Pelodiscus sinensis: one gene and its partners. The protein of the gene in region 3 binds, or shares a complex with, the protein of the main gene of each other region. Links are inferred from orthologs where the notes say so. Each region holds a gene or a part of one and is shown on either strand. Other genes may lie near its edges.

What was found. The genes of interacting proteins can lie anywhere in the genome.
Region 1: SNRPF (region 3) and PLRG1 share a complex: the UniProt entries of both Homo sapiens proteins name them as parts of the minor spliceosome. The link is inferred for Pelodiscus sinensis from reciprocal best matches to the Homo sapiens genes SNRPF and PLRG1.
Region 2: SNRPF (region 3) and RBMX2 share a complex: the UniProt entries of both Homo sapiens proteins name them as parts of the minor spliceosome. The link is inferred for Pelodiscus sinensis from reciprocal best matches to the Homo sapiens genes SNRPF and RBMX2.

What each region holds. Positions count from the first base shown.
Region 1 is NC_134715.1:56,845,409-56,852,268, forward strand, and holds the start of PLRG1 (pleiotropic regulator 1), read right to left. Parts: upstream 3,019-6,860; 5' UTR 2,871-3,018; coding exon 2,862-2,870; intron 1,500-2,861; coding exon 1,393-1,499; intron 1-1,392. UniProt on the Homo sapiens protein: Involved in pre-mRNA splicing as component of the spliceosome. Component of the PRP19-CDC5L complex that forms an integral part of the spliceosome and is required for activating pre-mRNA splicing.
Region 2 is NC_134723.1:2,297,800-2,305,508, reverse strand, and holds the start of RBMX2 (RNA-binding motif protein, X-linked 2), read right to left. Parts: upstream 3,019-7,709; 5' UTR 2,896-3,018; coding exon 2,891-2,895; intron 2,340-2,890; coding exon 2,224-2,339; intron 1,177-2,223; coding exon 1,125-1,176; intron 874-1,124; coding exon 744-873; intron 1-743. UniProt on the Homo sapiens protein: Involved in pre-mRNA splicing as component of the activated spliceosome. As a component of the minor spliceosome, involved in the splicing of U12-type introns in pre-mRNAs.
Region 3 is NC_134711.1:81,493,932-81,500,824, reverse strand, and holds the start of SNRPF (small nuclear ribonucleoprotein F), read right to left. Parts: upstream 3,005-6,893; 5' UTR 2,874-3,004; coding exon 2,871-2,873; intron 2,739-2,870; coding exon 2,613-2,738; intron 1,823-2,612; coding exon 1,758-1,822; intron 1-1,757. UniProt on the Homo sapiens protein: Plays a role in pre-mRNA splicing as a core component of the spliceosomal U1, U2, U4 and U5 small nuclear ribonucleoproteins (snRNPs), the building blocks of the spliceosome.

The DNA of each region.
Region 1 (6,860 bases), on a different chromosome or scaffold from region 3:
TTAATGGGTGAGGCTTACTGGTTTTGGTTAACCAGTGAGGGTTGGAGCTGCTCCCCGCCCACTGCGCATAGGGGGGCTGTTTCAGATGGGGCACTCCAGACTGCCCAGACCAGCCTCTGTCCACGTCAGGGGTGGGGGAGTCCACAAACAGGCTAAAGCAGTCCCCTGGCAGCCTCACCTTTAATAGGTTAATCAGTTACACATTACAGTTAATCAACTAAATGGGATTTTACATCCCTAGTTCACATTTCCATGGCAATCCCTCTACGACAGTGGTCCCCAACCTTTAGAGGCTCCGGGGCGCCCGGGAGGTGGGGCCACTCACGCGCTGGGCACCCGGGAGGTGGGGGCCACTCACGCGCCAGGCGCCCGGGAGCGGGGCCGCGCGTCCTGGGGCACGTCAGGGGACTGGGATGCCCTTGCACCCGGTGCCGGTGTGTGCCCTAGGGCCGGGGCTGGGGCTGCCCAAGCGCTTTGTGCCGTGGGCCCGGGGCTGGCGCTGCCACCCAAGCCACGCGCCTGGAGCTGGCACCAGCGCTGCTCGAGTACCGCGTGCCCGAGCGCCCGCACGTGCCCCAGGGCTGGGGCCGCCCGAGCGCCGCGCACCCAGCGCCGGTGCATGTCGCGGGCCAGGGCCTCCAGTGCACCGGGGGCAGGGCCAGCCCAAGTTGTTGGCAGGCGCACACGAATGCCCCAGCGGGTGCCATGGCGCCCGCGGGCACCGCGTTGGGGACCACTGCTCTACGACAAAGCTATTAAAGTCCTTGCCACTGAACTGACAGCCAGCCAGTCAGCCTTGCAAGCTCCCAACCCAACCAGACAGGCTTTCAGAAGATAAGACTCCTAGCTCCACAGCAGAGAATCTATAAGCCCTGGGAACCTTAGCTTCAGCCTGGATTTCAAGACTCCCTGCTATGAAGCTAGGAGCCTGGAAGTCCTGATACTGACTTCCACACTCTGTGTATCTAGGACAGCCTCACCATGAAGACTGCCCTGGGATCAAGAATCTCTCAGCTTCCGGACTCTGACTAGCTGCTGGCTAGTAATCTGGAAGCCCTGAGATCATTGGGCAGGGTGGTCTTCAGGGAGGGCCGCCTGAGAGCTACAGACCTTGGGAGCTACAACAATGGCTGACTGAAAATGACATTCTTGTCAGTTTCTGGACTACTAAATGTCAATTTCCAACAGCAGTTGCCTGTCCCCAGAATCAGTATTTTATTTTAGAAGCACCAAATATAGTTTCCAAAATTAATTTTTAGTTTATAATGAAATCTAAACTGGACCAAATACAAAAAAATTAAATGAAAGCAAAGAAACTGGAAACAGTTGCAAAGGAGGGCCTCACATTAATGTTTTTAGACATACCAATAATTTTATGATAGTTGTTCTTACCTTACATCATCCAATGGTATAGGCTTTCCATTATCAGCCACAAACATATCATGAGTTCTCTTCAAGGATCTGAACACTAATGTGTGCACAGAGTGTTTTTGCACCTCCTGCAGCAGAGGAGATACATTTAATTATATATATGGTTTAATTATATATATGATAATTCAATGAAAAGCCTGAAAACTACCAAGAAAATTAATGATTCTTGTCTTCCATATGTAAGAAACGAACTCAGTTTAGTGTATGCAGTGGTGCTTGAGTGGTAAAAACTATAATTTGGTGTAAGAGACAGTTTCATTTTCCCCATCCTCAAACTTAAATCACCACTTAATTATTTTTTCCTTTCATGGGATACTGTGAGAAAAAAAATCTAGCAGGACAAAACTTTGATCAACATTTTATTTCCAACTGTAGGCACATAAGTGAATTTAATGAAGACAAACAAAAAAGGTTTTTATTTACACTTGCCAGCTACATTTTTATAAATAACCAATAAAGCGAGTCAGGAGAAAAAAAGCTACTCAAGAATTTATTGTTGAGTGATTGAAGGATATTTATTTCCTATATTTTGACATGTGAGGTTGACAATTTGTGTTTGAACAGTTATCAAACTTTTAACTTTTTGAATCAACATCTATTGTCATTCAATAGTCTGAGCCTCCATCAATAGTTTCCAAGAAGCATGAACATTTAAATTCTAAAAATTGGAAAAAGCTTACAAATGAAAATGGATATTACTAATTGGTATAACAAAATTATAGTTCTACAGAGCCTAAATATAATTTTAAAACATAATTAACAAGATAATCTGCTGGTCTGGTCTGACTGAACACTGCAATTCCTATTGTTTGATGCTAATGCCACTTGCTTTTGTAAAGTACTTTGAGATCTATGGCACCTAACAGGCCATGTAATCAGATAATAAAAGAAATTAGTCTGATGGTTTTCTGTCCAGTTTTACCTGCCAGACCTCCATATAAACGCAGCACCACAGGGGCAAATACTGGCTGCGGGGGAGGGGACATCCCATGTAGCAATTAAAATTTTGGTGAGACACATGGGGAGGGAGGGTAATCAACAGTCCCCTACGCCGCGCCATACCCTTTGCTACTGGTCAAGCCCCTTGGTAAAGCCAGCAGAGGCCCAGTGCCGGAGAGCGGCTGTCGGGTTTAGGGCTGACAGGGCGGCAGGAGGGTGCTCACGTTACCGCCAAGCGGCAGAGACGGCGACACCTTTCCCGCAGGTTTAAAACCTTTTCTGCAGGAACGCGGCTCCCCCCGTCCCGAGGGCACAGACCCCGCAGGGGGCGTATCGGGAACGCGGCGCGGAGCTAATCGCTGACACAGGGGAGGCCGAAATCCCCCCGCCCCCCGCGTGCGCGCGTTGTTCAGGCCGCGAGCTCCTCGCTCCGGCAACGGCAAGCCCCGGGCCCGGGTGCTGGAGTTTCGGGGGCGGGGCCGGTCTCTCACCTCCACCATGGTGCCCGCTCCCCCAGCAGGAAACCGGCCGCGCTGTCCGGTCCGCTCTCCTATGGAACTACTTCCGGCGCCTGCCCGGCTGCCCCGGAACTGACGCGCTGAGACATGCGCGCGCACACGCGCGGCACTGTAGCGCTGAGGGGGCGGGAGGCACTAGGAAGAAGGCGGGAGGAGCAACGGACCTAACGGGCGTGGGAGGCCCGGCCCCTCCCCGGCGGAGGCGGCTCGCGCTGCTTTGGGAGCCGGGGGTTCGATTCCTTCCTCCCCCCCCCCCCCGATGCCCAGTGCAGCGGGGGGAGGTGCCGGGGGCGCTGAGAGCTGCGGAAGGATGAAGTGTTTCTGGCTCCCTGCAAAAGATGCGCGGCGCTAGGTGCTGGCGTGAGGATGCAGGGGGGGCTCTATACAGGCTTTATAGTTTGGTTGAGTAGCTCTCAGCACCCCGCAAGGCTACCAGTCTGCAAAATGCACAGCTGCAAGGGTACCCCCCAAATTACCTTCAGCAGCTTTGCAGGCACTGGTGGCCAGGCTCATCACCACCCCCTGCCTGTGGCCTGAGCACAGCAGAGCTGTCTCTAAATTGGGTAAAACTTAATCAAAACAAATAGTCTAGTAGCACCTTAAAGACTTAACAAAATATGTAGATGGTATCATGAGTTTCTGTGGGTACAACACACTTCTTTAGATGCCTGCAATAGATCCAATAAAAGTCCAGAGCCAAGAATAAATAAGGGAAAAGGGAGGAAGAAAAAGAGAAAAATGACAGTGAACAGATTGTTCAAGTTACAAGAGGCTGATAAAAACAATTAGCACCTCCGTTGGTTAAGTCATTAGGATGTGGAAGGTAGTGTGTGGAGCCCACCCCACCCTTTCCGGAAGCCCCACCACTGCTTTGCTGCACCCACACCACCCTGCTCTGCTCCCTCCTCGCCTCCATTCCACCCCAACCCCTGAGCAAAGTGGGCTAGGAGACTAAACGGGGGCCTAGTGTTGGTAGCAGGGATCAGGACCAGCCCCATACTCACTGGTGGCAGCAGGAAGCAGAGTGATCCAGCTGCAGCCTGCTCCACTCCACTAGCTTCCAACCACATCACACTGCTTTCCACCACCACCAGCAAGTTCAGAGTTAGTTTCACCCTTTTTCCTAAACCCCTTCCCAGGACAACAAGGCTATAGCTACACTGGCGGGTTATTGCACATGATCAGCCGTTCTTCCACAGAGCATCCACACTGCCCATCTGCTCTTGCGCAAGAAGATTTACAGTAAAGCGTGGTAGGAGAGGACTTCTTGTGCCAGAGCTATGCTCTTTTCTAACAGGTGTAAGCTCTCTTGCACAAGAGGGCAGTGTGGATGCTTGGCAGGGGTTTCTTCCGCAAGATAGCCCTTTGGCTAAAATGGCCATCAGAGCTTTCATGCGCAAGAGAGCATCCACACTGCCATGGATGCTCTTGTGCAAAAGCACATCTTGCACATGGCATTGTGAACGTGTTCTTGCACAAGAACACTTGCGCAAGATGTGGGAACCAGCAGTTGGGCTGGGTCTGGGTCTCTCCACTTCTTGCTGCTGCTTGTGAGTGTGGGGGTGGGCCCAACCTCTGTTGCTTCCCTGCCTGGCTGCCCTGCTCCTGCCTACCCTCATTGATGGACTGCCCCTACTACAGAGTGTCCCCCACGGGGGGCTGTGTAGGACACCAGAACTGCTAAGGACAACTTTGGCCTTCCACTATAAATATTGTTGCAGCATCTCTAAGTAAGCTTGTATGGTTTAGGGCCATTGATTTTAGATGAGCCTGGTTCATCAAGCACCAACAGCACCTTTTGTGGTGACACAGCATTCACAGCATGTTTTGGGTGTTGAGGCAGCTGGGGATAGATGGAGCAAGCCACTGGCGGTGAGCCCTGTATATAGGGCAGCATAACTTTCAGGAGAGTCCTTTCTAGTTTCAAACACCAGAGTTACTGAAAGCATTGTTCTATCTGAGCTGTGGGACGGCCACTCATCATCCCATTAAGACCTGCACAGGCGCTGAGGATGGCAGCGAAAAGAGATGCCTCTACCCAAACCCCAAAGCTACCACAGATAGGGGAGAGGTGCTCTACCTTACTTGCTGGAGCAGGGAGCTGTGGTGGATGGGACAAAGGCCCCCTCCCTACTGGCCCCAGCACGAAGCAGCCACAGCTGGCAGGGAAGCGCCACTCACTGAATCCCATTAGGAAGAAGCCATGGGTAGCAGCAAGGGTGCCATTTTTGGGAGAGCGAAATGGGGCAGCAGCTGGGTGTACTGGGACACAGCTTGCTTTTCTTCCTGTTCCCCTGATGATAAGGGAATGAGGGGAAAGTGCTTGCATTCCGTGAATTACTCCTCTGCCCCCTTCCTTCACCAGCCAGGATTGAGAGGCATGCATGGAATCCAAGTACTTTCCCTTCGTTCCCTTATCATCAGGGGAACTGGAAGAAAAGCAAGCTGTGTCTTGGTATGCACAGCTGCTGCCCTCCTCCCCCTCCACACACACCCCATGCTCTCTTGAAACACCACCCTTGGCCAGCAGGGAAGCCATCATCAGGTTCAGCTCCTCGGCAGAGGATAAACGATTCTATGCATTGAGCACTGGAACTGCACTCTCATTGACTGGGAACCAGCCAATGGGAGCTGGGGGCAGGCAGTGTATGTGGGCAACAGCAGCACGCATGGTGGAGCCTCTTGCCACTTTCCTCATGAATTGGAGCTGATGACCATTTCTGGGGCACAGTGTGATGCCCGAGGCAGGCAGGCATCAGGCAGCCTGCCTTTGTGCTGCTGACCAGGAGCCTCCATGTAAGCCCATCACTCAACACTCTACACCACACAGAGTCCTTCCAACTTGGAGCCACCTCCTACACCTCAAACACCTCATTCCCAGCCCCACTTCAAAGCCCATGCCTCCAGTCCAGAGCCTGTACCCCCTCCTGTACACCAACCCTTCCCAAAGCTGGAGTTCCCTCTTGCATCCCAAAATTATCATCCTTAACCCAGCCCCAGAGTCTGCACCCCCAGCCAGAGACCTCACATCCCTGCACTCCAATCCTCTGATATAAGCCTGAACCCCTCAGATTCAGCTCCATACGAGAATCCATACCCTCAGCCAAATCCCTCCTGCACCCCAATTTTCTGCTCCAGGCCTGAGCCCCTACCACACTCAGAACCCCTTGACTCCATGAATTTTGTTATGTGTACCAATATGAAGGTGATGTGTTAAACATTACCTCTATATTGGTGCATGCAACAAATTTCACTTCACTAGAGGTGGGAAGAATTAGAGGTAACATTGGGAACCCCTCTAGTGAGTGAACTTCCCCTGGCACCCTGACAGAACAGGACTCCTTTGAATGAAAAGCTGTAGCCAATTGAAATATGCATCTTGATCATGTGTTAGAAGATAATAAGGGAGCAATGCTTTGCAAACCTGTTGACAGTTTTTACAGACTACCCCCAAACAGGCTGAGAAACAGCTTTAATTTAATTTAGGCTCAAAGCCTGACCCTTACTCCCAGTCTGCTTGCCATAGAGTAAGACCTCACACATTTTCTTTACCTAAAATGGTTTACTGAATTGATGAGGAACTTTAAAGTGCATACACATTGTTCACTAGCCTAAACAATTCAGCCAGATGGCAAAAAAAAAAAAAAGTTAATAAATGACTGAAAAGAGCTGTTTAGAAGATACGTTCTTATGCAGCTTTAACTGCAACAACACCATGTTTTATCCAGACTACCTTGTGTCATTTCTACTCCTCAATCTCTGGGGATTATTTGATGAGGAATACATCTAGCCATGTAGCAACACAGAGGTTTTGTATAAACAACCATTGCACCGAGCTATTAACCATCCAAACATAGCAACTGCAATTACAGATGCTAAACAGAAGAGTGCAACAGTTAGCTTTCTAAATACAGGCAGTCCCCGGGTTACGTACAAGATAGGGACTGTAGGTTTGTTCTTAAATTGAATTTG
Region 2 (7,709 bases), on a different chromosome or scaffold from region 3:
AAACAACTGTATATTTAACTATTCTAAGGTAAATATGTCGTATAAAAATGGTTAAAATACAAACATACGTATTATCAGGGCTCGCCAAACCGCGGCGAGCCCTGCTCGCCAGCTGCACTGTCTGGCAATCTGCGCATGCGCAGATCGCCCGCACCCGGCTCTTCCGGGTTGTAATCTATTCGCCTCGGGCGAGTCAATTGCATTATTTGTCGAGCCCTGCGTATTATAATCCTAACCAAAGCGCAAATCATCAACCACTAACTAATATCACCCACAGATTACCAAAGGATAACTCTACACCCCACGCCTCTGTCATGGGTCTAATATCCCCAAATCCATTCTTAAAAAATAAAATCTATCTCATCAGTAGTACAAAAAATGTGCAAACTAAAAAACAAACAGGGCATAACTATCTCCATGAAAAAGGCGGCCACAGAAGTGCTAGTCACAGAGCATTCACATGAACACATCCTGAAATCAAATGGTACCAGAACATCTCTGAAGGTTGGATCCATCCCATGGGTCATATCTACATCACTTCTCTTGTGGCACTAATATACTGCTGTAATTCCCTCTGCGGACACAAATGCTTTTAACTGCGCACCCTTGGATGTGGAAAGAATGGTGAACTGAAGCTTTGGGAGCCCTAAGGTCATAGCAAATAATAGCCACACACTAGCAGCCAACCTGGGCACAAACAGGACTTCACTTAAAGGCTGGTCTCTTTTCTTTCACATACCAACCTTGATCCCATTAAAGTTGTCAACAGCAAGTACGGTGCTTCTCTGATCTTCATAGCAGATAAAGCAGAAACCTTTCGATTTTCCAGTCTTTTTATCTCGCACCAGATTAATGTTCACAATTTCTCCATATCTAGAAAGAAAAAAGTGAAGTCACAAGACACCAAAGGCGAGGGAAATGACAATTCCATGAAAAACTACTAAGAAAAGTGTAATAGAGAAGGAAAAGCCACCAGCCCTCGAGATTTCTCCTGCAGTGACTGAGGTGGGGGGATGTCACAAGAGGCCATGTGTCATCCAATATCAAGGCTTAAACACCAACTGTTTGGCCTCATGCTACGACCTTACTAAACTACTGAGAATGAAGAATGAAATTCGACTTACTGTGAAAACACGCAAATGATATCACCTTCTGTCAACTCATAGGGGAGACCTCCTGGGAAGAAGACACAAATGTTAATGCTGCTCAGGCTCAACAGGACTGCAGTACAGCTCTTATCCTTGGCCTTGCAGATTATCATGCCTGTCCCCCTCAACCCAATATGCCTCTCTTGACTCCCACACTCTAAGGTACGTCTACACTACAAGGTTTTTGCGTAAAAACCCGCAGAGCGGCCACATCTCAAGCGCGTTTTTGCGCAAGAAAATCTACAGTCAATCGACAGAACAGAGGGTTTTTTGTGGTGTAGGTAAACCTCCTTCTACAAGGCATAGCTCCTTTTTGCACTACAGCTGTTTCGCAAAAAGGCATCTGTGGACGCTCCATCGGAGTTTCTTGTGCAAAAAGAGCCTATCCAAAAAAGCACAGGTGCTCTGATGGCCATTCTGTGAATGACAATCAGAGCTTTCTTGTGCAAGAGCATCCATGCAGTGTGGATGTGCTTTGAGGTGTGGACGCGCTTTTGCTCAAGAAGTTTTTGTGCAAGGATTCTTCTGCAAAAGACTTCTTGCACAAAAACCCTGCAGTGTAGACATAGCCTAAGCGACAATTCTTCAAAGTTTTAAGTCACTTGATTTAATCAGAACCATTTCATAATACTGATGAAGTTCTACAGAACTTCTATTTTAACTTAAAAATGACCAGTAGTCCTGTGTCACTTTAGAGACTAACAAAAATATATAGTATCATGAGCTTTTGTGGGCAAGACCCACTTTATCAGATGAGTTGGAGTGGAAATAATAGAATCCAAGATATATATAAACAGCAGAAATACCACTTATCAATTGCAGGACCCATGTTAATGAAGCTAATTAAGTGGACTGTATGTGTCCCATTCATAGCTGCCTTAAACATTCGCATTTTCACATCAAAAGCTAACTGGTTACCTTTTTAAACAGGATTTTACATCCCTAGACCAAAATATGAACCTGGGAGGGCTAATATTGTTACAGCACGCAGCAACAGGGAAATAGACTGACACACAGGGCTCATGATACAGAACCTGGGGGAACCAGCACCAAGACTGCTGCACAAATCACATACCCACAAAGATCCAGGCGCTATCACTGTACTCTGCATGCCAGGACACCTTCTCCTGTACGCCCAGCTCTGCCTCCCGCTCATTCAGCTCATTGATCAGTTTCACCTTCGTCAGGGGGCTGCAGTGCAAAGGCCAAACAGTTACCAAGGTAGGGACCTCGCCCTGTCCAATGCCTCCTCCCACTCTCAGCCCCTCCACATATCCCCAGGCAGCCCCCCCCACACCTCCAGTATCCCCTGTGCTGCCCCCCCGCCCCCCATATCCCCACCCAGCCCCCCCACACTCCAGTATCCCCTGTGCTGCCCCTGCCCCCCATATCCCCACCCAGCCCCCCCACACTCCAGTATCCCCTGTGCTGCCCCTGCCCCCCATATCCCCACCCAGCCCCCCCACACTCCAGTATCCCCTGTGCTGCCCCCCCGCCCCCCATATCCCCACCCAGCCCCCCCACACTCCAGTATCCCCTATGCTGCTCCCTGCCCCCATATCCCCACCCAGCCCCCCCACACTCCAGTATCCCCTATGCTGCTCCCTGCCCCCATATCCCCACCCAGCCCCCCCACACTCCAGTATCCCCTATGCTGCTCCCTGCCCCCATATCCCCACCCAGCCCCCCCACACTCCAGTATCCCCTGTGCTGCCCCCCCGCCCCAGGCAGCCCCGACCTACTTCATGGCGGTGGCTGCTCAGCCCAGCTCTCGCGCACGCGCAGTTCCCGGGCGCTCCGGAAGGGTGGCGCGCGCCCGGCCCAGCAGTAAGCCCCGCCCCGGGGCGGAGCCGCGCGCTCCTCGCTGGGGGGGGAGAGGCGCGCGCGCGGGCCGGATCGAGCCCTACGGGGCAGAGGAGCGAGGGGCGCGGGCACGTGGCCAGCCCGGCCCCTGATCGCCACCCGGCACGTGCTGCCCCCGCCCGCCCCGCGCCCCTAGGGCCTGCGCCCCATCCCCAGCCCCATCACTGCACTCTAAGCCCCCAGGCCCTGCACCCCATCACCCCACCCAGCGCCCGCCCTGCGCCCCACCCCGAGCCCCCAGGCCCTGCGCCCCATCACTGCTCCCCATCACTGCTCCCCTAGGGCCTGCGCCCCATCACCCCACCCAGCGCCCCCAGGCCCTGCGCCCCATCACTGCTCCCCTAGGGCCTGCGCCCCATCACCCCACCCAGCGCCCGCCCTGCGCCCCATCACCCCACCCAGCGCCCGCCCAGCGCCCCACCCCGAGCCCCCAGGCCCTGTGCCCCATCACTGCTCCCCTAGGGCCTGCGCCCCATCACTGCTCTCGTAGGGCCAGAGCTCGCCCTGCGCCCCACCCCGAGCCCCATCACTGCACCCTGAGCCCTGCGCCCCATCACTGCACTCTAAGCCCCCAGGCCCTGCACCCCATCACTCCACCCAGCGCCCCCAGGGCCTGCGCCCCATCACCCCACCCAGCGCCCACCCTGCACCCCACCCCGAGCCCCCAGGCCCTGCGTCCCATCACTGCTCCCCTAGGGCCAGAGCCCGCCCGCCCTGCGTCCCACCCCGAGCCCCCGGGCCCTGCGCCCCATCACTGCTCCCCTAGGGCCAGCACCCCACCTCAAGCCCCCGGGGCCTGCGCCCCATCACCCCACCCAGCGCCCGCCCCGCGCCCCACCCCGAGTCCCCAGGCGCTGCGCCCCATCACTGCACCCAGCGCCCGCCCTGCGCCCCCAGGGCCTGTGCCCCATCACTGCTCCCCATCACTGCTCCCCTAGGGCCAGAGCCCGCCCCACCCCGAGCCCCCGGGGCCTGCGCCCCATCACTGCTTCCCTAGGGCCAGAGCCCGCCCTGCGTCCCACCCCAAACCCCCAGGCCCTGCACCCCATCACCACTCCCCTAGAGCCAGAGCCCGCCCTGCGCCCCACCCTGAGCCCCATCACTGCACTCTACGCCCCCAGGCCCTGCGCCCCATCACTGCACCGCAGCCCTCAAGCCAGCACAAATGCACAGTGCCCTGCACCCACCACCCCACCCGGCACCCGCCCTTTCCCGAAATAGCAGGCACGCTATTCCGGTGTCCTTATAACCCTTGTTCCACGAGGTTTAAGGGATTTGTGGGAATAGTGCCTTATTTTGAAATTTGGCATTGTCTACACTGCACCACATTTCAAAATAAACTCTTTTAATCTAGACTCGGAATAAGATGTGCAAATTGCGTAGCTTATGCTGACAGAAGGATGCTGCATAGACGCACCCTAAGATGCCACAGGACTTCTTATCTTTTCTGCTCCTGTTTAATCAGTTAACCAGTTAAACTTAACTTTTAACCAATTGACTAATCAAATGGGATTTTACATCCCAAATTCAGGCAGCTTTGAAAGTCACCTTGAATAGCTAGGTCCCCCAGTAAATACTGAGCACTAGATTCTTCATTGGCATGTGAGGAACGGGAATGGGGGCATGGTGATTCATTTAGATAATGAATGGACGTGACATCAGCAGCACAGAAAATTAGGTTAAAAAAAAACCCAACCGATTTTGAGGCCAGAGATGTATTCCTCAATTCATTATTTTTAGCAGGTGATTATCTCACCGCTGCTGTGTCTGAGTCACTGAGCTGTGAGCCGTGTGACTGACACCAGACCAGAGAGCTGCCCTTGTCCCCCTGTAGCTCAGGCATTGGGGTTCTGATGCGGCTGGGGTTGCTCATTTGCTGGATGGTCCCTAGAACATTCCTCCACGGCAGCCGGGACTGGCTCCAGACATAACCTGAAAACAAGGAACTTTCTTTCTACAGTGTGCAGAGCTGGGGAAAGAGGTATGCTTGGTCACTAGCTTCTCCTTTTCCGGAGACACAAGGTGGGTAAGATATTACCTTCTATGGACTAACATCTGTTGATGAGAGACAAGCTCTGTGTAGTTCAAAAGCTTGGCTGTCTCATCTACAGGAGTTAGTTCAATAAAGGATATTACTTCACCCACCCTGTCTCTACTGTCTTGGGCTACTGTCCACAGCTACAACACTTGAAGCAGAAATATCTCAATTCAGGTTATTATAGCAACGTTCAATTGGAAAGGATCCCCCGTATGCTCTAGGACCAGAGAAAAGAATAAATCATTCACCTCTCCATAGCTAGTGTAGAACACGGGCAGCTGCGTAGCAGCAACACTGCAGGACAGGAAGTCAAGATGGCTCTTGTATTGATCTAAAACTGCAAAGAGAACATGAGTTACATTCATAGATTCCAAGGCCAGAAGGAACCACTGTGATTATCTAGCCTGACCTCCCATATCACAGGTCAGAGAACTGCTCCCCAATAATTCCTAGAGCAGAGCTTTTAGAAAAACAGCCCATCTGGATTTTAAAGCTGTCAGTGACAGAGAATCCACCATGGCTGTTTGTAAACTGTTCCAGTGATTAATTGCCACTGATAAAAAGTTATGCCTATCTACAGTCTGAATTGGTCTAGTTTTCACTTCCGCTCATTGATTAAATATTGGACCTCTCTGCTAGATTAAAGAGCCCATTATTCAGAACTGGATCCCCATGTAGCTAGATAATTATAGACTGTCATCCACTCATCCTTTGTCTCTTTGTAGACTGAGCTCTTTGAGTCTCTCTCTGTAAGGCATATTCTATAAGCCTTTCATCATTCCCATAGCTCTTCTCTGAAATAGGGATGTGACAGGTAACAGGTTAACCAGTTATCCGGCATGCATTGCCGTTAACGGGTGATGCTTACTGAGTAACAGTTAACTGATACCTGGGAGCAGCCTGTTGCAGGAGGAGGACTGTTCTAGCCTCACCAGGCTCCTGCGTGGGGCAGCCCCATGTGGGTTAACCGATTAAATGGGATTTGACATCCCTACTCCGAACCCTCTGCAGTTTATCAACATCCTTCTTGAATCATGGATGGCAGAACTGGCCATAGGATTCTAGCTGCTGGAACACCAGTCCCAAATGGAGGAAAAATAACCTCTCTACACAACTCAAGATTATCCTGTTCAGGCACCCTGGGATCGCATGAGCCCCTTTGATCACTGCATCACCCTGGGAGCTGATGCTCAGCTGATTATCCCCCTTCCCCCCCAAAAAAAATTGTTTTCAAGAGTCCCCGCACCTGTAAATACAGCGGACAATCTTTGTTCCTACAGGCAGACGTTTAAAGCTAGCAGTACTAACATGCAAAGTGTTTGCTTATGTCCATTCACCTCAGCAATCTGGATCGCTCTGTATGAGCCACCCGTTCAACTTTGATGTCAGCTTCAAACTTTATCAGGGATGATTTTCATTCTGTTCGGATTGTGTTCAAATAGCACAGGGCCGAGAACAGATTGCTGCAGGACTCCATTAGGAACTTAGACTTGGGGATTCCCTATGTCCAGTTTCATATGGAAACCACTCAGTTCACTGGTTGTTAATTGGTGTCCTGCATTGTTTCCATCTCTGATGGCCTGGGCAGTTCAGGGTGCAGTCCATGCCAGTGACGTGCCTGTCCTGTTCCTCCCTGCTTTGCTGCTGTAGCTCCCAACCTGGGCTACTCACAACCAGCTTACCAGCACATAGACCACACTCTGTGTGGAACTATAGGCCCAGGCCAGCAGCAGATCCAGCTACACACTGAGCTCCATCAGCCTTATTTACAACTAGCAAGATGACCCCAACACAGCCCTAGTCTTTAATTTCCCCCAAACGATATGCCCTGAAATGTCCAGCCCTCTCCAGCTCAGAGAAATAATGAAGTTCATTGCTCCAGAAAAGAGATAAAACTGCACCAACAGCTTCCTAATTGAACTGGGGGTAAATACACCCTTCCCTTAAACACAGGGCTGAGTTGGGTTGTGGTAAGAGGAAAGTGCATTTATTTACAAAATAGACAGAGGAGTAAGTCAGTTCACATATAAGACATTAAAATAGAGTCACGAGTAAAACAAAACCTGCTTCTAAAAATCCCAAACTTAATCTAGCCAGGTACAATCTTTGCCTAAACAGGTTTCTCGCCTATATTCAATTTCCAGACTCCACCCCTGCCCTTTAGTTGAAGGACCTCTCTCTCAGCTCACACAAGCTCCATTTTCATAGGTCTGTCTTGTGATGGACACCAAAGGTGACTTGTGCCTTTCCTTATAGTTTGCAAAGTTCAGCAATGTTTCCAGAGGCAGGATGACTTCCTGCTGTTCTTTCCTCTCTGTGGGCTTCCCGCCCCCCTGAAGATAAATAGGGTTTCCACTGGTTGTTTCCACCATTCTTGATTTACACAGGAGACAGGTAGTTAGCTGTCTGTGCCATTCTCTGCTGTCTGGGCAAACTGTATAGCCTAATATAAATGTGTAGCCATAATTTCTGACAGTGTTCATACGTACGTTTCACATGATTAATCACCACTGTGTCCTTAGCTTTCAGAAAAGACCTCACTCGATACACTTTCATAATACAGTAATACTGTGTACTGCCAGTTGATTATCAACTGAGTTGGTGCAGGCCAGGGTGGCAGAGGCTATGCTGCCAGCCAGCAGCTGCTCCCCAGGGCTGGG
Region 3 (6,893 bases):
GATGCCCATGCTTAACTTCAAGCATAGGGATGTCGATGAGCAGATGACTATATGATTAAGTAATAAGCCTGGGCTTATTAGTTAATCCTTTTGACTACATGTATTCCCCCCACTTTAGAGACAGTGGAATATGGGGGGGGGGGGAGAACGGGAGCTGGCTTTAAGCAGGCACCTCATGAGCACTGGATCCGCCTCCTCCCTCCCACCCCCACACTGCTGCCTTGCACAGAGGGTGAGGGGGCAGAGGGGAGCCAGTATGCATGGGGAGCAGGCTGTTAGGCTGGCTATCCACAGACCCATCTGCCTCTTCCCACTCTTGCTGCCTCCTACAGCGCTCTGTGGAGTCACCTGCTCAGCCACCTGGAGGAGCGGGTGTCACAGAAGAAGCTACCACAAAGCAGCCTCTCCACAGTGGACCTAGGCTCACTGCAAATGGAGGCTGCTCTGCAGCAGTGGCCCCTATCTGCGGGAGGTCCAAGCTCTCTGTGAACAAAGAGAGCTCAGCCCCCCTGCAGACAGGGGCTGCTGTCAGTGTTCCCTCTAATCTGCTCTGCAGCATATCTTTACAGGTGATTAATCATCCCCACCCATTCAGTCAGCTCCCTGAGCCTGGGTAGAGCTTATTAATCACCTATGAAGCTGTGCTTAGAGGGAACACTGACTGCTGCCACCAAGTGCTGCTGCCTCTAATAGTCCCTGGGGACTATCAAATAGTCATGCAACCACTGGAATTTGATGTAGTTATACAACTATTCAAATTACTCACTAACATCCCTATTCAAGCACATAAAGTTGCAGGAGCTGGACCTTAATATATATGCAAAAATTTGTTGATACTCTTTTGAAAATCCACTCTACCTCCTCAGACACATACACTCACTGGAGTCTCTGCTACCTCTCCTCATTTAGAGACCCATCATTTCTGTGAAACTATTCAGTGCCTAATTAACTTCTTGATATTATTGGTAAGATTTTTCTCAACTATTGACAAAAGATTCATTGGTTATCTGGGATCTTATTTATGTATATGAAAGAAGTTACAAAAAGGAGAAATTATGAAATGGGTATTGTAGTTGGTTCTTCCCTCCCCTGATAATACAGGTTGAACATCTCTTATCTAGCACATTTGGGACCTAACCAATCCTGAACTAGGGAGGTTGCCAGACTAGAAAAGTTTCCTACCATAGCCCCCAGCCGCCGACTCTGCCAGCTGGGGATTTAGGGGGGGGTGGGGGGGGGGGGGAACGGGTATGGAGGACTACCTCCAGCCCGACAGGGCTGCCTGCTGGGTTGCTGGCCCTGCTGCCCCGGCCAGACTGCCTGCTGCTGTCCCAGTCTTGCGCTGCCAGGTGCTACCCTGACCAATCCCAGTGCCACAGGCTATCAGAAACTGCTGGCTCCAGCTCCACTGCTGTGGGCTGCTGCCAGCCCTAACCTCTGCCCCATCCCATTGCTTCAGCCCTGCTCCTCCTGGATTACCCTCCTGCCACTAGGCTACCAGAGTTCTCTGATGAAGGAACTTCCATGGTCTGGCTGGACCAGAGAATTCCAGTTTTGGGAGGTGCAACCAGTATGATTTTTATTATGATCTGCCAGAAATTGCTTAGCACAGAATTAGAAACTGCAACTAAAGTATTTAATATTGCAAATTTTCAGACTGTTTTAGGCTGACTATTAAGGAATTGAAGAGTTCTGTCCATCTACAAATGTAATACATCCACTACATAACTTACTAAATAATCTATTTTGATAATTACCTTATCAAAACTTCACCAAGGTGTCCAGACAATGCACCATCTATGTATTCTTCTGTGTTTGCAAGCTTTAAGGAACAAAACATTAGCACAATTGTTTGAAGAAAATTCTCAGCCAGCAATCAATAAACTATTGTCAGGCTAAAGACATTCTACAAGGACTACTGGGCCCTTTGGGAAACTGGGTCTGTTTAATAGTAACTTGTACCTCATTAGAACTCTTTGTTTTTATTATGCATGTAGCTCATTATATTTCACTTTTCATTGAAGAATCTGACCAGAAGAGTGTGCCATATATAGCAAAATATGGTCTGTTGCTTTAGAACTAGTCTACAAACCAAACTTTGTGTAAATCCTTTTCATCAGTTCTCAAGCCAATCATACCTTCATGTTGGAGATGCTGCTGCCCTGCACAGAGCACTGCAGGAGCAAGGGTGTAGGTGGCTCCACATAGAACTAGGCAGTGCAGAAGCAGTAAGATCTGGGTCTACTTCTGCCAGGTCTTCTTTGATAGCAGGCAAGTCACTCACCTCTGATGCCCTCGACCCCGCTATGAGGCCCCTGAACAACCCTCACGCCGCAAAGGGGACCCCGTGTCCCCTTTTGAACAACCTTGTCATAGGCACCCCCCGACTCCCCACGGAACGGAGTTGCCAACTCTCCCGAAAGGTAGGACCGGACACCATTTGCGGCAATGGCATCCGGTCCGGGAGAGCTGGCAACCCCACACGCCCACGTTTGAGCCGCCCCCGTCTCCCCCCGAACTCCTTCCGCAAGCCCAGGCTGCGCGAGGGGGCGGGTCTCCCGGAGCCCTTGGGGCCAACGGGGGAGGGGGGGCGCGTCCCGGCTCCAACTGACCTGCATGTTCATGTAGCCATCGACGGACACCAGGTAGCCCTTGTACTCCATCCCCCACTTCAGCTTCACCATCACCGGCTTCCCCGTCAGCCCGTTCAGGAAGGGCTTGGGGTTCAGGGGCAAGCTCTGCGAGTCACCACAACAGCGGGGTCAGCGCGAGCGCGGCCAGGGCTCCCCCGGCACCTGCCGCCCCTCACCCACCCCAGGGCGCCCCCCCCCCCGGCAATCCCACCCGCCTCGCGGCGCGGCCCCCCTCACCATGGCAACGCGGCCTGGCACAAGGCAGCGCTGAAAACAAAAATTACTCGCTGGGCCGCACGTGCGCCCGCCGGAGTCCGAGAGAAAGCCAGGAAGTGACGTCCGCTCCTTCGCTTCCGGGAGTGCGCGCTGACCTCCCGCCTTTTGCCCGCCCACGAAAGCCTGAATCCCGTTGGGCCCGGGGGCTAGCGCGCGAACGGAAAAGTCGGGTGCTGAGTGGCTAGACCGAACGACGGGGCGTGGCTAGTGACGCAACCCTCGCGGAGCTAGAAGGCCACGCCCCTTCCCTTGCATAGGGGCTTCTTGTAGCAGCTGGTTTTCCCTACCGTAATCCTCTGTGTGCGCGGGCTGGAGTTCGATTTGCGCTTTTTTAGGGACTTTATGATGGGGGAGCAGAGGAGGGAGCCAGAGTGTCTTCTAGGGCCCAGGGAGGAGCCAAGCACGTGGCGCCCATTGCAGAGTCAGGGGCCGGTGTAGTGGTTCCCAATCTTTTTAATGCTGCGGACCCACAAACCTGTTCACAAACTTTTGGTGGGTTGGTAATATTTTATTGGCCTATTTGCATATTTATTATGCTAATTAATTTAAGAGGTCATGTGTTATTTTACATCGCATAAGCATGCACACAATACACGTCATTGGAAGAGATCAGAGTTTGCAGTTATCTACAACACTAAAAATTCTCTAAAAGAATCCTTTCTTATCTTGAGTGATTAACACCTATGTAAACTTTCTTTGAAATGTAATTATGCCCAGGAAATCTCATGATACCACTTACACTTTTTGTTAGTCTCTAAAGTGCTGCAGGACTATTTGTTGTTTTTTAAGTTTTTTTCTATTACAGTGTAACTTGGCTGCCCCTCTGAAACTTTTGGACATGCAAATGTCATGAGGTAGGCCTTTTGTTTTGCCTGCTGCCCAGAGGGAAAGAAGTTAGACACCCTAAACTCTCTCCTATCCCCACCACACTGAACTAGTCCCCACCTCTAGAAAGAGGGAGTCACATAGGCCCCCCCCCCCCAGTCTCCATGTCCCACATGTGAACTGGGCAGAGCAACTGCAGCCTACCTGGGACCCCTGGAGAAGGTAGAAGCTGCTGCAGCATGAGAAGCCAGGATGCTCCCACCTGCCTCTAGGACCAGGGGACGCACATGGGACAGGTGGGAAGGTCTCACATCCCCACAGCGAGCCTCTGTCAGTAGCCAAGGCCCTCTGACCATCCCTCCGCAGCTTCCCCAGCAACAGTTTGGTCCGTCCCACCCTGGCCATGCCGCTGCTCCATACTAGAGGAGAGGAGCTGAAGTAAACACTCGGCTGCGGGGGCAGAGCCATGGCAGCTAATGCTCTGTGGGGCAGGCGAGGTATTGCAAGCCAGCCTCCTGTTCTCTTCTCCCCAGGTAGCCCCTGCCTGTCAAGGCATGGGGATGGCCTGGCAGTGTGCCACAGCCTGGCAGCCAACGGTTCATGGCCTGGCACTGGTCCACGGACTGGTGGTTGGGAACCACTGCTTTAATGTACTTACAGTGACCCCCATTACTGCAGCCTAATGACACCTCAGAAGTCATCCTCTGTAATGCATTCACCTGGCTGCATCCATGCTGCTAGGGATGGAGTGAGGGTTTTTCTTGCGCAAGAAGGGGCAGTGTAGACAGCTCCTTCTGGCGCAAGAGCCTCTTCCGCAAAAAAGGCGGCTCATTAGGTATGCAAATGAGGCTCAGCGATATTCCATGCTTAGCCTCATTTGCATATTTCTTACGCAAGAACCCACCAGTGTAGACATAGCCCTAGTGTCATCCTGACCCAGTGCACAGAGCTGCTCCACGCAGTCCTGTGACTTTGATGATTTATTCATAGACTTTTTCATGCCCCATTATTTTTCCAGTTCTGGCCAGAGCAGGCAAGTGCCTCCCAAACAGTACTAAATTTATTTTGTTCTTTTTGGTTTTGAAAACTACTGAACTATTTTGCCTACAAATATTTCCAAATAAATAATAAATTCATTACTGAGCTGAGAATGAGCCTGTTACATTTGAGCAAAAAAAAATTATTTTTTTTAATGAAAGGTCATTGCAGGATTGGGGGTAAAGTGGTCATTGCCCCCAACTTAGAACTTCATTTTTTATATTTCTGGATGACATGAAATTCGTCCACTGAAACTGATCCAGACATTAAAAGATATTCCTCCACCCCCCACTCTCCTTGTCTGTAATAACCTGGGAACTCACAGGGTTACAAATCTGCAAACCAGATTCAGCCTCATCCTAGGATGCGTCTACACCCTTAGCTCAAAATAAGATGTGCAATTTGTGCAATGCAATTTGCGCTACGCAATTTGCGTATCGTATTTAGATTCTTATTTAGTCTTTTTTTCAAAATAGGCTATTTCAAAATTTGGCACATCTACAGGTGCCAAATTTCTAAATAAAACACTATTTCAAGACATTCCTTATCTCTCATGCAAACAGGTTTACAGGGATGCTGAAATAGTATGTCTGCTATATTTCGCAATAGCGGACACATTCAAAAGACCCGGGGATAGCTATTTCCCCCAAATAGCATTGCAGTGTAGACATACCCCTAGAAGTGAATGTAGTGTGAGTGTATATATTTATCCACAAGGTGGCATTGCTTATCTTGCACAAGGACTGTCTGGAGATGTACGGGGTAGCCTTCTGGTACAAAACTCTTTTATATTCTTCATATAAAGCCAGCAAAGCACAGTGGCCTGGATTTCTGTATAACAGAGTAATTGATAGGGCAGGATGTTTTAATTAATATGAGCATACCATTATAAAAACTAAAACTGGGGAAAAAGCCATCTAATCTGTGTCCGTGCTGGTGCATGATTAGAAGCTGCAGTAAAGTTTTAATTCTCAGACAGTAGAACTACTACTACTTCTCTTGGCAATAGAATTCATAGAATGCCTTTCCTAACTTGGTTACACTTAATGAACTTTAGGTATACAGGCAGTCCCCGACTTACGCGGATCCGACTTATGTCGGATCCGCACTTACGAATGGGGCTTTTCTCGCCCCGGAGCTCACGGGCGGCGAGTCGCCACCCGTGTCCTCCGGGGTGAGAAAAGCTTCTCCCGGTCTCCCTGGTCTGCTGGGGGGGGGTCCAGCAAAGCCGCTGGACCCCCCCAGCAGACCAGGGACACCCAAGCAAAGCCGCTGCCTGGGCGGCTTTGCTTGTTTGCCCGGGCGCAAAGCCGCCCAGGCGGCGGGACCCCCGCTGCCTGGGCGGCTTTGCTTCTGTCCCCCTGGTCTGCTGGGGGGGGTCCAGCAAAGCCGCTGGATCCCCCCAGCAGACCAGGGACACCTGAGCAAAGCCGCCGCCTGGGTCCCTCCGCCTGTGCGGCTTTGCTCGGGTCTCCCTGGTCTGCTGGGGGGGGAGGGGGCGCAGCTAGTGTGCCCCCCCCCCCCAGCAGACCAGGCTTTTGTTGCGGGACGCCTCGGGTAGAGCAGCTGGGGTGCTGCCGGGTTGGTCCTGTGGGAACCTACCGGGCGGCGCCCCAGCTGTTCTGTTCCAGGCTCCAGATTCAGCAGCTGTTGAAACTGATCAGGCTGATTCCAGGAAGCTGGGGGCAGAGCAACTCTGCCTCCGGCTTCCTGTAGTCAGCCCCTGGTCAGTTTCAGTGGCAGCAGCTGAATCTGGAGCCAGTTCCGACTTACATACAAATTCAACTTAAGAACAAACCTATAGTCCCTATCTTGTACGTAACCCAGGGACTGCCTGTATTGCTGCAGTTATAACTCCTAACTCCTTTCATCCCTAATGAATATTGAGTTTGTAACATTTAAGTAATCCATGTGTTAGCACAGCAGTCTCATAGCGGGATTTGATCAGACAAGTACTTCCCCCAATATATAAATAAGTTATTTTGAGACTGAGGCTACTGTACACAGTAAGTATGATTTTCTTCCACTTAATATTCAATATATTCAGCTTTTTGTGTGCAAAATGAGTATATTCAGAAAACAATTATAGTTCCAAGTAGCGTCCATTCCCCTATGCATCAT